3 linked regions of the Danio rerio genome follow. The protein of the gene in region 3 binds, or shares a complex with, the protein of the main gene of each other region. Links are inferred from orthologs where the notes say so. Each region holds a gene or a part of one and is shown on either strand. Other genes may lie near its edges.

The links.
Region 1: the proteins of topbp1 (region 3) and phf8 are in contact, whole or in part, in a crystal structure (PDB 7CMZ), measured with the Homo sapiens proteins. The link is inferred for Danio rerio from reciprocal best matches to the Homo sapiens genes TOPBP1 and PHF8. Residues at the interface, in NP_008958.2 of Homo sapiens: Gln1298, Cys1299, Arg1314, Asn1315, Glu1316, Leu1319, Arg1369, Ser1406, Arg1407, Gly1410, Phe1411, Arg1413, Leu1414, Arg1465, Thr1466, Glu1467, Ala1470, Asp1471, Gln1475, Asn1483, Tyr1484; in NP_001171825.1 of Homo sapiens: Gly842, Ala843, Cys844, Phe845, Asp847, Ala848, Tyr850, Ile851, Tyr852, Pro853, Ser854, Leu855, Glu856.
Region 2: the proteins of topbp1 (region 3) and brip1 are in contact, whole or in part, in a crystal structure (PDB 3AL3), measured with the Homo sapiens proteins. The link is inferred for Danio rerio from reciprocal best matches to the Homo sapiens genes TOPBP1 and BRIP1. Residues at the interface, in NP_008958.2 of Homo sapiens: Leu1272, Ser1273, Ser1274, Leu1275, Asn1276, Pro1277, Arg1280, Gln1298, His1311, Leu1313, Arg1314, Asn1315, Glu1316, Lys1317, Leu1319, Gln1366, Arg1407, Gly1410, Phe1411, Leu1414, Thr1466, Glu1467, Ile1469, Ala1470; in NP_114432.2 of Homo sapiens: Ser1129, Tyr1131, Phe1132, Thr1133, Pro1134, Glu1135, Leu1136, Tyr1137, Asp1138.

The regions. Positions count from the first base shown.
Region 1 is NC_133198.1:30,524,805-30,529,664, reverse strand, and holds the start of phf8 (histone lysine demethylase PHF8), read left to right. Parts: upstream 1-1,290; 5' UTR 1,291-1,544; coding exon 1,545-1,642; intron 1,643-1,747; coding exon 1,748-1,833; intron 1,834-2,356; coding exon 2,357-2,477; intron 2,478-4,860. UniProt on the Homo sapiens protein: Histone lysine demethylase with selectivity for the di- and monomethyl states that plays a key role cell cycle progression, rDNA transcription and brain development.
Region 2 is NC_133190.1:30,011,804-30,016,872, forward strand, and holds the start of brip1 (Fanconi anemia group J protein), read right to left. Parts: upstream 3,571-5,069; 5' UTR 3,446-3,570; intron 3,130-3,445; 5' UTR 3,096-3,129; coding exon 3,003-3,095; intron 2,841-3,002; coding exon 2,729-2,840; intron 1,846-2,728; coding exon 1,657-1,845; intron 1-1,656. UniProt on the Homo sapiens protein: DNA-dependent ATPase and 5'-3' DNA helicase required for the maintenance of chromosomal stability. Acts late in the Fanconi anemia pathway, after FANCD2 ubiquitination.
Region 3 is NC_133199.1:10,074,056-10,079,095, forward strand, and holds part of topbp1 (DNA topoisomerase 2-binding protein 1), read left to right. Parts: intron 1-1,001; coding exon 1,002-1,125; intron 1,126-2,928; coding exon 2,929-3,093; intron 3,094-3,187; coding exon 3,188-3,284; intron 3,285-3,517; coding exon 3,518-3,713; intron 3,714-4,910; coding exon 4,911-5,040. UniProt on the Homo sapiens protein: Scaffold protein that acts as a key protein-protein adapter in DNA replication and DNA repair. Composed of multiple BRCT domains, which specifically recognize and bind phosphorylated proteins, bringing proteins together into functional combinations.

The DNA of each region.
Region 1 (4,860 bases), on a different chromosome or scaffold from region 3:
AAGTCTCTGCTGTCCGAAGAACGACCGACATGCGAAGCAACTTTATTGTTCCCTCTCCCGCAGACAGTGGTCGCTGCACGGGCGGATTGGGATGGATTTATAGCACGGGAAATCGCTGCGTTATGAATTTCATAAAATCTATGATTCTCAGCTGTGGACTGTATTCCCTCGAGATCTTGCAAGATTTGTTTACTCATTCTCCTCTCTTAAATACGTAAAAAGGAAGAATTGTGCGTTTTCTGAAAGCCTCTTGTTGTTTGTAAAGCAGGCCGCGCAGGCCTCGGATTTTCCTAAAAACTTGTCCGGCATGCTGCGATTGGCCCTTGGGGGAGTCGCGGCATTTTACACCCGGTAAGACCCTATAGCACTGCGCGCGCTGCAACAAGTCCTTTTGTTTAGCTGCGACTCTTATAATAGCATCCTACGTATTTCATTTCTAGCTAAATTTCTAAAATCTCTGAAACGTATCTTGGTTGAGTTGTAAACACAAAGATTAAGCAGGTTCACGTTGCAAGACGTTAACGATTATGCTATGTTATTAGCAGCTAAGCTAGCTACCAGCTTTTATGTTTCAACAAACTCTTTTCTGCTCTCAGAAAATGCGTTGCCTAATATAAAAACACACATATGATTTTAAATGTACAAATTCAGTGGATGCAATTAAATATTTGTGCATCGCGCTTTCATTTTTAGCATCGTCCCGTTGTAAGTCAACTCCATCTATGCAGCTCTAAACTATGTGAATTAACTGGTATCGCTAACATCATAGTAGATTTGTTATTACCACGTTATTGATAAGTTACTTAGGTTATTTGTGAAAGGTCGCTTTCACAAATGTGTAGTTTTTACAACTGTAATGTATAAATCTTTAATGAAGTGTTATGAGTCTTAACCCAAATACTTTTGACACAAACTTTTGTAAATAAATAACAGGACCAGAACATAACTTACAAGTTTTTCATGTATTTTGTGTAATATTTTAAGCATTTAGGCCAGACAATGTGTAGTTATAACGTCTTGTGGGCTATTTTGGCTTCACTTTAAAGGTATGTTTGAGAATGAATAAGAAGCTTGCAAAGATTGAGACTGTTGGCTATAGTAAAGGCAGCAGGTGCATAGATGTAGAAGTTTAGCCAAACACAGACTAATTCTTTTGTATTATTTTGAACACATTTCCAAAGTTTAATATTTTAAATAATTTACACATTCTATTTGAATTGTAGTTTGGCTATAATACGTTGAATTGTTCATTTGACAAATTTTTCTTACTTTCTCAACAGGTGTCGAGCCATGGTATGCACCTATTGCCCGGTTTGACTGCAACGGCTGAAGCATATTGATCTACAGTTGTCTGAAAGCTGTTGACACTGCCAACAAAATTTACTGTGAATCTGGTCTTTTCAACACCTCAACGGAATTGCTGACCTTTGTAAAGAAAATTGACACTCCACAGAGACAAATAAATAAACTGTGGTGCTTGGAAAAGAAGCAATACCATATTAAAAGACTTTTTTACATTAAGATAGTAGGCCGGAGGCTTTAGAATGGCATCTGTTCCGGTTTACTGCCTGTGTCGTCTCCCTTATGATGTCACCCGATTCATGATTGAGTGTGATGTTTGTCAGGACTGGTTTCATGGCAGGTGAGGTTGCAAAATTTTTAAATGACTGTTAAAAGCTAAATCTTGTACTTCTTATGAATGTGTTTTTTGTGAATGTAATAATATATGTTTTTTCTTTTTGTGTAGTTGTGTTGGTGTGGAGGAGGACAAAGCAGCAGAAATTGATCTGTATCATTGTCCTAACTGTCAGGTGACACATGGACCATCTGTCAGTAAGTGTCACAAATGGTGTAATAAATGTCAATTCTGACTATTTCTTAGTAAGTCTTTTTGTGGATTAAAAATAAATGTTTTCAGAGTATCTGTACCTATATTCATCTATTTTAAATCTCTGTTCATAGTCAATACAACCTTTATATAATCATGTTCATAGTACATCCATCTGTAAATATCACCCATAGTTTTTCTTTAATTGCACTTTATAACTTATACCTGTATCCTGCACTTGCTGCTGTTGCACTCCTGTTTAGACCTAAACTGCATTTCCTGGCCTCGTACTTGTGCATATTTAATGACAATAAAGTTGAATCTAATGTAATAGTGCTGGGTTAATTTGGTCTTTATGTTTATGAAATTGTATGGAAACTAATTTGCACCAAGTCAGAAACAGACTATTTTTGTTGTGTATTTTATGTATGATTATTCATAACTTCGATTTACAGCTTAGAATGGACTAATAAACATCTAAACTTGGAAAAATTTGACTAGTAACTATGATATCTATTTTTCTGTCAGTGCGTAAACGGCGAGGAGCTGTAAAACACGCTGATGTTGGATTGGGGAGAGACTCAGGGCGACCTGTGAAGACGGGCAGTGCTCAGTTTGTCAGAGAGCTACGCTGTCGCACTTTTCCCAGGTACATTTACACTATTGCTAGCTCAAAATGACCTCTAGGTAATTCTAGGTTGTCAATACCTCTAGTACTCTACATTTTAAAGGAACATTTCACTTTTTTTTACAAGTTACCTTAAGTTAAACAGTTAATTTTTTCCATTTTTGAATCCATTCAGCCGATATCCGGGACTGGTGGGAGAACTTTTAGCTTGCCATAAATCATTGAATCGATTAGCATCTTGCTTGTTATAGTCATTTTCCTATTTAAATCTTAACTCTTCTGTAGTTATATTGTGTACTCAGGGCCGGATAAATGTAAGGGCTAGGTGGGGCTTGATTAGCTAAAGGATTAATTTGCGGTATGACGAGGGAAACGCCTCTGCGTTGTGCTTACTCTACGAAAATAATGTGAAGTAATTCTTCCGGTTCGCTGCTGTTCAAAAACAGTGACGTCAGTGCTAAACTGGGGCTCAGTGGCTGTAGCCCAATCAGAATATTGAATATCCCTGTTTTAGTCACCCAAAGAGTGATCACATATCTCATTTTTACCAGGAAAGTCTTATTTTGGCACTACTGCAAGAACCGTCCAGTCAAAGTTAGGCTAACTTGTACATGTAACAACAGAAGCTGGGATAGGCGGAACTGAAGCAATGTCTCGACCGTGCAGCGATTACAGCTGGACTCAAAGCGGCGCACACCCGCACAATCCTTCCATCACACAATATAACCGAAACAGTGTGCGATCAAATCAAATTGCCTGTAAAGCATTTTCAAAATATCCATGGTTGTGGAGTATCTATCTCAAGTAAATACACTCTATGCTTTACAGCAGGGGTGTCAAACTCAATTCCTGGAGGGCCGAAGCCCTGCACAGTTTAGTTCCAACCCTGCTCAAACACACTTACCTGTAGGTTTCAAACAAGCCTGAAGGACTCAATTAGTTTGATCAGGTGTGTTTAATTAGGGTTGGAACTAAACTGTGCAGAGCTGCGGCCCTTTTGGAACTGAGTTTGACACCTGTGCTTTACAGTAAGTCTAACTGAACCAGTTAGAAAGCAAACTTTTTTTTTAATGGATGCTTACTTTGCCCCTTTTATGAAAATGATAGTAATAATATGGAGCAATGAAATATTGACCCTGGCTTTCATTAGACAATATATCTGATGCAAAAAAACAATAGATAAATAAACAAAATAAGGATAACCTTCTGTAACTCAGAAGACCACAAAAAGCTATTTTGGATATTAGAAGCATGGATATTAAAGATATTATATCATTAGGGATTTATGGTCACCTAAAGTTCTAAAGAACGTTTTTAAAGGTAAACCCCAATTTAAAGTATTAATTATAAAGCACTAATTGAGGTAGTATTGCAAAAGTTTTTTGTTTTGTTTTGTTGATGTTTGCAGCCTGTTTGAACTTTAAAGTTCATATTATGTCATTGCTTAATTTTGTATTCTTGCAGGCCTATTTTAATAAAATAGAAAAAAATCCATAATAATCAAATATAAAAAAATCTAATGGTGGAAAATTAGATAATATGAATTAGTAAATTATTACTAACCATAATAATAATACCAAAAACAACAATTAATAATAATATATACTTTTGTGAGGTAAAAAAAATAAAGGGGAGGGCCTTGGATTTGCTATAGCCCCAGGGCCCAATGTATTCCTAATCCGGCCCTGTGTGTACTAAGACTAACGGAAAATGAAAAGTTGTTTTTCCACCAATGATATTTTGCAGCACTGTTACCTAGCTGGGGACTATTTTCAGCTGCTGCATAATATCATTGCACCTGCTGCAACCATGGAACGGCAGCAAAGTTTCTTGATTATCATGCCAGAGTGAGAGCATAGCCACATCGACCTAGAAAATAGCAACCTTTATTTTTTTGTCACTCTTGGTGCACAATGTAATTACAGAAGAGTTGAGATTTAAATTAAATTATCAAAATGTTTTTTTTTTTTTTTTTACATTTTTGGTTGAGATGCTTATGGTCTAATCTGATTCAATGATTTATGCTAAGCTAAAGCCTTGTTTTTACTTCTGCGTCGAATGATCAGCGTGACCCACTGTGCCTGCCTTGCGTATAGTCCTGCATTTATAATTCTGCATGCTGTTTGTGTTGCTCTGCAATAACACTTGTGAAACACTAGCTGGCAGTAGGGTTTTTTGTTCATCTGTGTCGAGTTTCTTCGCAGGTGTTTTGTTTTTTCTGAACGCTACCTTGCTATACAAGTAGCTCAAACTCACGACTGATTGGATTTTAAAATGCTAAAATTGAACTCTTTAGCTTTATGTTACTATTCCTTGAAAATTAGTTAAATTTAATCTTGATCTGACTTTAAACAAATTCTTCACTTCTAATTGTGGGCTTATGCTTATCTGATGTTACAATAAT
Region 2 (5,069 bases), on a different chromosome or scaffold from region 3:
GAGGTTTGTACATTTTTATTTCAATTGATTTGTATATTATTTTTTGGATCCGCTCCTTCCCGACAATATAGCTGTTCACTCTTAGTGTAAGGTAAATAGGGAAAATGTCATACGATTTCCATTTTGCAAACACGTAGAAAATTTATTGCTAAAGACATCAGGTAAGAGGTGAAGGTCATCTTTGTTTATTTTATTCAGTATAGGGAAGAATGCGGCGCACGGCGCTGAAGACCTTTTTTTTTCTTTTCATCAGTTTTAGCGAGATAAGGGGTTATTCATGAGTTAGAATTGTTTTATTATATTTATTTCTTTTGTTTGTCTTCACTATCACTATCGAGTTTAACTAATTTCTGTTTGATACTTTTGTTTGAATTTGCTACTTTATTATATTATTTTTATTAGTGTAAATATTTCTCTTTTTTTGTATATTGGCATTATTCTGGTTTCACTTTTGTACATTAAATCACTTTTGTTGGCAGTTCTGTTGCTTACACCCTCACATTGTGAAATTACCACACTTTTTAAATGTTTTTCCTTACAAGTAAGTTTCGTGAAACAGTTAAGACAGACAGGCGTGCGCTTTGTCTACGACACGAATTCTATTCCTGTACTCAACTGGAAAACCAAAATGTTTCCACACAGATGACTTAAATGTGTCTTGGGGATCTGCAATCTCAGTACTATGTGAAGCAGCCATCCTGCGTCCAGTAGTAACGAGTGTGATGCTCACTCAAGTCACATGACATGACATGCACTAAAATACTAACTTTAGAATATAATATTTAGAACAAAACCTCATCATTACTAAAACAATTTAATTAAATGTGATAATAAAGATGTGTTTAAATTGGTTCAATTAGTTAGAGACAAGTGACGTCAACCTCAACAATGGGCAGCAGGGGGAGTGAGAGTTCCGCGATACGCCACGAGAGTTTCGCGATACGTATCGTGGCTGGTGTATCGCGATATTTCGGGTCGGTTTTAATATCGTTACACCCCTAGTTGCTAATGCATAATTTATGTAGGTCGATTAAATTATGCGCCAAAAACAGGTTGACAAATTTGTTAATAAATAAAAAATACATTCTATATTAAAAATATAAGTTGTATCTTGGAAAAACCGATGCATCTCGCAAAAACCGATGCATCTCGATTTGCTTCCAAAATTTCATTCATCCTCTGCTGCTCTACCGATGCACTCGCATCGTGCACGCGCAAGACCGCGTATCGATACATATCGGTTAATCTTCCCATCCCTAATATATATTTATATATAGTCTATTAAATATAAATATATATATATATATATATATATAAATATATATATATATATATATATATATATATATATATATATATATATATATATATATATATATATATATATAAATATATATATATAGTCTATAATATATATATAGTCTATTAAAATATATTTTTTATAGTCAAAATGTATTACACAAATCATAAACAGATTTCTCTTTGACATCAGTCACACTAATTTTATCAACAATGTACAAGGATTTGTCTTTAAGTGGAAATCCTTCTGCTACTTCCATGCCTTACTTGCATGTTCATTTCCAATGAGTATACAGTTTGATTATCAAGTGTGAACGAGAATTTATGCTTACGATTCAAAATGTTTTAAACGCTTACCTCCTTTTGAGAGAGGGGTTGTAGGCTGAGCGGAAGTACCTTCACACGTAAGATGAACTGTAGGTGGTCTGGATGCTCTGGTGTTGAAAGTGGACTGTGCATTTCGGCTATGGCATGCACACTGACATGGAGTAACCACTTCTGATTTCTTACAGTCAGCAAATCCAGTGCCTGCATCTTGCTCCTTAACTTAATATGCAGTATGATAAAAAAAATCATAGATTAAATTCTCTATGAAACATACACAAACATACAAATGTCACTGAGTTCTTGGGTATTTAACTGCCAAAATGGCTAATGATATTGCGCTAAAAATGAGATTTCCTTTTGACATGTTGGTCCATTAAAGTATGATAAAATTGTATCATGGATTTCACAATAACAATGGATACTATTGATGATGATGATGATGATGATAATGATGATGATGAAACCACATCAGCATGATGGAATTATTGGTAATGGATCCTAATACTAAGTACTGAAGGCTGGTAAAAAAAAAAATTGTTTTTTAAACTTTTGACAATCAAATTAACCTTTTTTTTCAGAATCAAAAAGCTGGGGGGGACAGCAAAAATTATATAATATATGACGTTTAGTTGCAAAACCTCAAAATGCTATTTGTTGTTTTCTTCTAAAATAAGCATTTTCTCAGCCTCTTGTGTGTGTTTAAGAATTCATTTATAAGTTCTTTTCATTGCCTTTAACGTGAAATAGCAAAATATAAATATAGGTGGCTAAAAAAATATATATAATTTTAGGAGAAAATTGTGCCATTTAGAGGTTTTTGCATCTAAACTCTTTATATATAACAAAATAATATTATGCAATTCATTCTATATAAACATTTTAATACCATAAGCTTTTAAACAGTTCTTTCAGTTTTGAAATTCTGTAGTAATTTTTTTAAGAATTTTTAATTATTTTATTTAATTCCATTAGAGATTTTTATAATGATATGGAAATTATCTAATCATTTTTACATGCAATGTGTTGCTATTGATCACCTTTATCTCCCATTTATGTATAAACCATTGCAATAACAGACAGAATAGATGGACTCATTTCTTACCAAACTGAGCTTGCTGCCATGCAAGGGCCGAACAAAGCAAAGCAAGACTCTTGCCACTGCCAGTGGGGCTCTCCAGTAGACAGTGCTGCCCGTTGTTAAGTCCACGAATGATCTAAGATAAACATGAAAATACCAGACACGTCATGTTCAACTAACTAAACTTCTTTACAAGTTTCTTTATAAATATGTTAGGGTGAGAAATAAAGGACGGCATGCATGCTTGTTCGTAAAGAGTAAAACATGAACACATCTGTCAGTGTGCAACATATCTTACAGAGTTCATCATGGCCAGCTGAGAGGGATACGCTTTACAGGGGAAGTTTATTTTCACCCCTCCTATGGTATATTCCACTGGTGTCGCTGCCATTCTGTGGGTTTCAGTGTCCAGTGGAGGTCAGAGTCTGAGGACACAAACATTAGCGGTGTATTAGGCCTGTGTATTGTGGATAAACACAACATTTACTGACTGCCATTTGATTTATCGTTAATATTTAACTGACACTTGACAAGAGCGATACTTGTGTCTAGTAAACACGATTCAATCGACTACATACGTAAAAAGCAGTGTTTAAAGGTTAATACGAACATTTATATGACAAAACTGACAGCGTAGAAAGTTATTTTCTCAAGTTTGACTGGTATTAACGTACCGAATGTAAACAACGACCGTAAGCTAAGTTATCGTTAGCATGCTAAGTTAGGAGTAATGTGACTTACGTTAGATGAGTATAAAATGAATAACCGCGGAAATAAAGTTACATTTTTGAAAGAGTAAAATTAGCAAAAAATAAAATGAGGCACAAAATGAAACTCCCGCGCTGCATCACAAACAAGACGTCGGTGCGTCAATGTGACGTCAACAGGCAAAATAAAAGACACTTTTCTTAAATTATTATTTTTTTCTGTAGAAACAACATCGCAAAAATGGAATGACTGATATTACTCGCGAAATTAAATAATATTAACATATAACAATGTATATATATATATATATATATATATATATATATATATATATATATATATATATATATATATATATATATATATATATATATATTCGACACATACCAGTCCAGAGCATTATTTAAGATTTATATAGATTATTACGTCAAATATAAATCAAAATAATTTTTTTATATTATATTATATTATACTATAAATTAAATTTTGTATATTTCAAAATAAAAGCATTTCAAACAAAGTCCCCTCTGTTAACCGTTTCAGTACCTTGATGTCAACTTTACTTTGTCAAAATTTATCTGAATAAATCATTTAGGAAATAGTTATTCCATCTATCCAGAAAGAGATATTCAGGTGAGCCCTTTGATAAAGTTTAATTTTAAAACAAATTTATGATCACAAAACAAAAAACATTTTAGTTTCTCCTTATAATATCACTTGGGTATAATATGTTTTAACCAATAATTAATAAAAGGCCTGTTTGAAGGAGTTTATGTTTGGATGAAGACCTTCATCCTTTGTCAATAATCATTTTTGCACAGTATGTGTGCTTTTGTACCATCGATTTGTGATAGTAATATTTTAGTAGTAGAAAGTTGTGCAATAACATCTTTAAAAAAGTTAAATTCTATAATACATTTATTGTATATAATAAGCTGTATACAGGGGCACAACTTCACATGTACTGATGGGTATGCGGCTACAACTTTTGCGCGCCCCCCTTCAATCCAACTATATTTTATAACAGGCAAGTGATAAAATGTGGAAAATATTTCCATCAATAAATTAAAGATATTTTTTCATAAAGATATCAATATGCTTAAAAATATGCTTTTCGCAGTTCTGAACACAACTGTAATAGTTTGAAGTATAGTAAAAGGTATAATTACATTAAGCATGTTAAGTCACAAAGAAATGCATCTCATACCACCCCAAATTTCTTCTTAATTTAATTTTCACTTACTAAATGATTATAGCACCTTGACTAGCCTTGCTTTTGGACTTGTTGTTGTACATTTGTCAAAACAAAATGATAGACATGGGAGTCCTAAAGGGCAAAAGAACATTGCAATTACTTCTCACATTCAGACTGAGGCAGAAGGTCTGTCTTTGCAAGAACAATTGACTGAAACTGCTAAAAGTGAAATAAAAAAGACTGTCAAATGTTTAGTGTAAAAAAAACAGAAACAAACAGTGTGAAATGTTCTATTTAATTGAAATGTTATAACTTTGTTTGTAGCTAAAATTAAAATAGTTTTGAGCTAAGAAGTTACCAAAAGGCCTGATGAATCAATATGATACATAATAAATTCATAATAACATGTGGTATAAAAATGGGGGGAGGGGTGAAATGATTTTTTAATGTAATAAAATACAA
Region 3 (5,040 bases):
CAGCCTTTCCACAGGTTAGTAGTAATCTAATGTAATATTATTTGCATAATGCAAATCTTAAATTCATGCTTACAAATGATCAAAAAATTATTAATGCAATTCAAATATATAAAATATGATTGTGTATACATTAAACTTTAATGATATCGTTCAATATATATATATTTTGTCAATAAAAGATTTTTCCAGAGTCATCCATCATAAATTTGTGACTAAAAAGTATCGGTTCAGGCACCTTTTTGGCACCGGTACAATTTTAAAGGTATTGATGTAGCACCGATTGATTTAGTATCGAGACTGATTTAGATCGAAATAACCCCAAACAATACTTAACCCTAGTGAAAAATAATATTTACTGTTTTTAATGTCGAATTTGAAGTGTTTTTTTTTTCTACTGTTTCATTCATGTATTGATTTGTGGTTACTATTATGTAATATCTTTTTATCCTAAATAGTCATAAGTAGGGCCAGGCAGAAACTGCGGACATTTTTTGCCATTTCTTTGGAGAACTTTGTAAACAATCTGCAGATTTATCATAACTAAAAACTTAATATATGAATTAAAAAGCAATACCTTTTTAACTTTTTATTTAAAGTTGACAATGCAAATCCAACTAGATCCACTTATTTGGTAAACAAAATTCTCTCATATAATAGATCTACTAAAAGACAAAATATGACTTTACAATCTGTATTGTAAAGCAATCATATGAACATTTTAATATTACTATTATTACATCTCAATAATATTAGTGAAATCAATTTAAACACTGGATTAATATAAATGTACACACATTTATACAAGTAAATAAATAGACTAAATGATGGCCTAAAAATATGCAGAAATCTGTGGATTTCTGTGCGCTCAGATTCTGTGTGGCCTAGTCATAAGTTACTGAGAAGGTAATAAATCAACAAAAAATCTAATTGGCAGCTAAGATGCTGGTATTATGTGTTTTAGGATAAAGCAATGGGGTCTAATGTCATGCTCTCTGTTTCAGATGGTCTTGTGACGACTCGGTCACTCATTACATCTACCAGGGGAAAGTGGGAGACAACAGTAAAGAATACAGAGCTGTCAAAGAGAGAGGACTCTATATAGTTTCACAACACTGGCTACAGGCTGTAAGTATATGAAGTTACCTAATGAGTAGATATACATTAAGCATTCATTAGAGTTTAAAAACAAAACTTAAAGCATTGCCTCATTGTTACACAATGTCAAAATGTATTTGCATTTTCAAATATACAAATAATTTCAGTTACTTTCTTACTCCCAGGGCCATTTTAAATCGAAATTGATATTTAGCCGCACCATGTTGGTGTTTCGTTACATCTAATCTTTTTTATGAGGTGGGAAGATTAGGACATACACATACACACTGCAGACAATTTAGCTTAGCCAATTCACCTACAGCGCATGTCTTTGGACTTGTGGGGGAAATCGGAGCACCTGGAGGAAACCCACACAAACACGGGGAGAACATGCAAACTCCACACAGAAATACCAGCTGACCCAGCTGAGGTTTAAACCAGCGAGCTTCTTGCTGTGAGGTAGAGGTCTGCATTATAAATATAAATAAATATAAATAATCAATATTATTATTATTATTCATTTCCGAAAAGAAAACGGGAAGGGTCGGGCAGCGGGACAACAAATACTTAATATATGCGGGAGCGGTCGGGTTCGGGCTAAAACCTGGCAGGAGCGGGATTCAAAATATTGTCCCGCGCAGATCTCTACTGTGAGGCGATAGCGCTTCCCACTGCACCACCATGTAATAAAAACAGTTGTTTGTTACAAAGTATTTAATTCAGATATTGCTATTATTAAAGATACATTTTGAGCATTTGATGATGGGAAAATGCACCAAAATTTTCAAAATGTATTCTGAATAGAATGACAACGATCTAAAAAAAATAGCACGTACAATTCAATATCAAAACCATTAAATAAACCCCTAATGTTCTATTAACACCATAGAAAGAGGACACGTACCACAATACAACAGGTGTACATGACTGTAAGCTGACAAATTGACTGTTGGAGCTCCTGTTTGGCCATTTCAAGATTTTTTTCTGTGCTTACCAGTTATTATATGTATGTAAATGACTACACCATGCTAAAATATTCATTTGCTGTGAAAGATTTTGAGAAATAAATGACGAAGTAAATGATGAAAAAAAAAAGTAAGTAAAAGCTGAGAAGCTCTTAAATAAGTTAAATTTAGAAGCTCAAGACATAATCTTTAAACTAAAAACTTTTATTAAAATGTTGACAGTGGTTTGTGATATAAGAACTGCCACAGAGAATTAATTTTGATTTGATGATTGATTCAATGATTGATTTGAGGTAGCCTGCTATTTTTATTTGATGGAAGTAAAAATAGCCTATGCTGGTTTAAAAGGATTCACGAAGTGTTTTCGTTTTGTAATCTACATTTGCAATTTAAGTGAAAAATATCTAGTGCAGGCATTTATTTTTAGCCTTTTATTTTGTTTAATATTTTTTCTGTGCTGTTGGAAACACTGCAGGTGCTTTGAGATGTTCTGTTGATAATATGTTCGCATGTTAAAATAAATCAGTATTTTAAAATGCAATATTTAACGTGTCAGACACAAAATAGACACGTCAATTATTTTTTAAAATTAAATAATAATTTAATATTAATCTGACCACTTAATCATTAATATTGGGTTAACGAGTGGTGGTTGTTGGTTTGCAAAATTAACCGAAATGAGTATTTCTAGTTTCTTTTATCCTTGTTTATGTAAACCATTTTGAATTACTATTGTGTTTGAAATGTGCTACTGTATATAAATAAACTTGCCTTGCCTAATAATGGACATTAAAAATTGAAAGTAAATAATTTAACAGTAGTGCAAAGCTGGGGAATTCATTACATTCACTCACCATTCCTTTTTCAGTGTGCAGATGAGCAGAAGCATGTGTCGGAGTCGCTCTACCCTTTTACATTCAACCCTAAAATGAGCCTCACCATGAGTCAGATGGCAGATTCCACTCAGAGATCACCTCCTTCTGCCACCCCCCGCACCAGACTGAGAGCTTTCGCTGAGAATGAGGAGACCAGGGTGACCATTCATAACTTTACCACCAATCAATCCCAGCTTATCAAGTTTTTATTAAAGGTTATATCTTGTATATATTTATTCTTTATTTCTAAAGTTGGGCCCTGATGATGACATCACCGACGTCTCAACTCCTAAGCAAGGCAGTGTGGGAGAGCCTGAGAAAGATCAAACCATCAGCACCGAGAAGAAAAGCAAGTCATCTTTAAAGACATGTCTTTGATTTATTTATTATACATCTCTCTCTCTCTCTCTCTCTCTCTCTCTCTCTCTCTCTCTCTCTCTCTCTCTCTCTCTCTCTTTCTCTCTCTCTCTCTCTCTCTCTCTCTCTCTCTCTCTCTCTCTCTCTCTCTCTCTCTCTCTCTCTCTCACTGATCTTAAGTTAATTGACTCTTCCTTTAATTTTCTTATATTGTGCCTCCCTCAGATCTCACGGAAACACTGGAGATGAGGGAAAGTCTTCAAAGGCAGCTTCAGGAGATCATGTCTGCCACTAAACTAACCAGCGGTCGTCGAGGCTCCTCGCGGTTGGCCAAAACAGGCCCAGGGGGGCTGGACTCTCCCCACACCCCGGACAGCCTGGGGCGGATGAGCAGACGCAGTCGCAATTTAGAGGCCATACGGTATAAAAACAAGACTACACAGAATACTGTTTGATTCTCTTATTGTCTCAAAGCTTTTACCACTTGAGAGTATACATTGCATTTTCTGGTTGTTCACTTGAGAATTTAGACAGACAATGATTTTGATGATTTCTGTTGATGTGCATCAGATGCAAGGACTTAAGTCTTTTAATTTTTCAAAACTACATTTTAGGCCTTACAAAGTCTTAGGGCTCTAGTTTAACAATCTAGGCACACGGCGCATAAGCATTTACGGTGTGTCCGTGGTGGACTTTGTAAGTGGAAACCTGACTGCTTCACTAGCGATAAAACAGTTAATCAAACCTTATTCACCGCGAGGATAAAGAATGAGCCTCCTTTCATTTTCTTTCTCTTTACTTTTACTCTCTCTCTTCGTGGAAAGGAAACAGTGTTGTACGCTTTCCACTGAAGACATTCTTTAGCCTACATATTTAATTTTGTTTGTTAAGAACAAAGATTTGTTTTAAAACTATTTCTAAATTCAGGTCTAATTTCAGTCAAAAAACTTGAGTTATATCCTAACACATGTCCTATTCTTATGCCCCGTATGGTGATGCATACGTCTCCAAAACCAGTCAGGTGGACAAATCTAAACTTGTTTTTATAAAAAAATATAAACATGCATATAATAATTAAAACTGTTAATAATAATAGCATTATATAAATGCAAACTGTCATGAACAAACGGAAAAAAAGTCTTTTGCCTATTGCGCAAGGTGTACGATAGGGCCCTTAAATTCACTCAGATTTTTGTGTTGTAGATCTTACATTTTTAAACGGAACTTAATTTACCTGTCCATGTAAAGATCAGGCTAACACCCATCCTACCACCAACAATTTATCTCAATTAAGCATGTAACAAGTTACATTTATTACACTATTTTTATATGTGTATGTTTTTTTTTTATTATTAATTATGTATACAACTAGAATTTGTTTGTTTTGATACAATTTTTTAAAATCTAATGTAAATTCAATTTTATGGGGGCAGGGGACAATTACTAATCTTTTCCACTGGCAATTAGAAAAAATTGTTAGTGTTTAGCCCTTTATAATTCTGAAATTTTTTTTATAATAGTCTTGAAATTTTAAAAATCTTAAATTGGACTTTTCTGAAACCTGTAGAAACTGTGGTTATCATTAGACTCGAATGTTGAAAGATTGTGTGTTTGGCAGGATGTCACGTCAAGTATGTGTGGATCTGAACACAGAGCCATCCCAGAGTGAGCAGATCGTTTGGGATGACCCCACAGCACGAGAAGAGAGAGCTAAACTGGCTGATAACCTGCAGTGGCCTGGCAGCCCC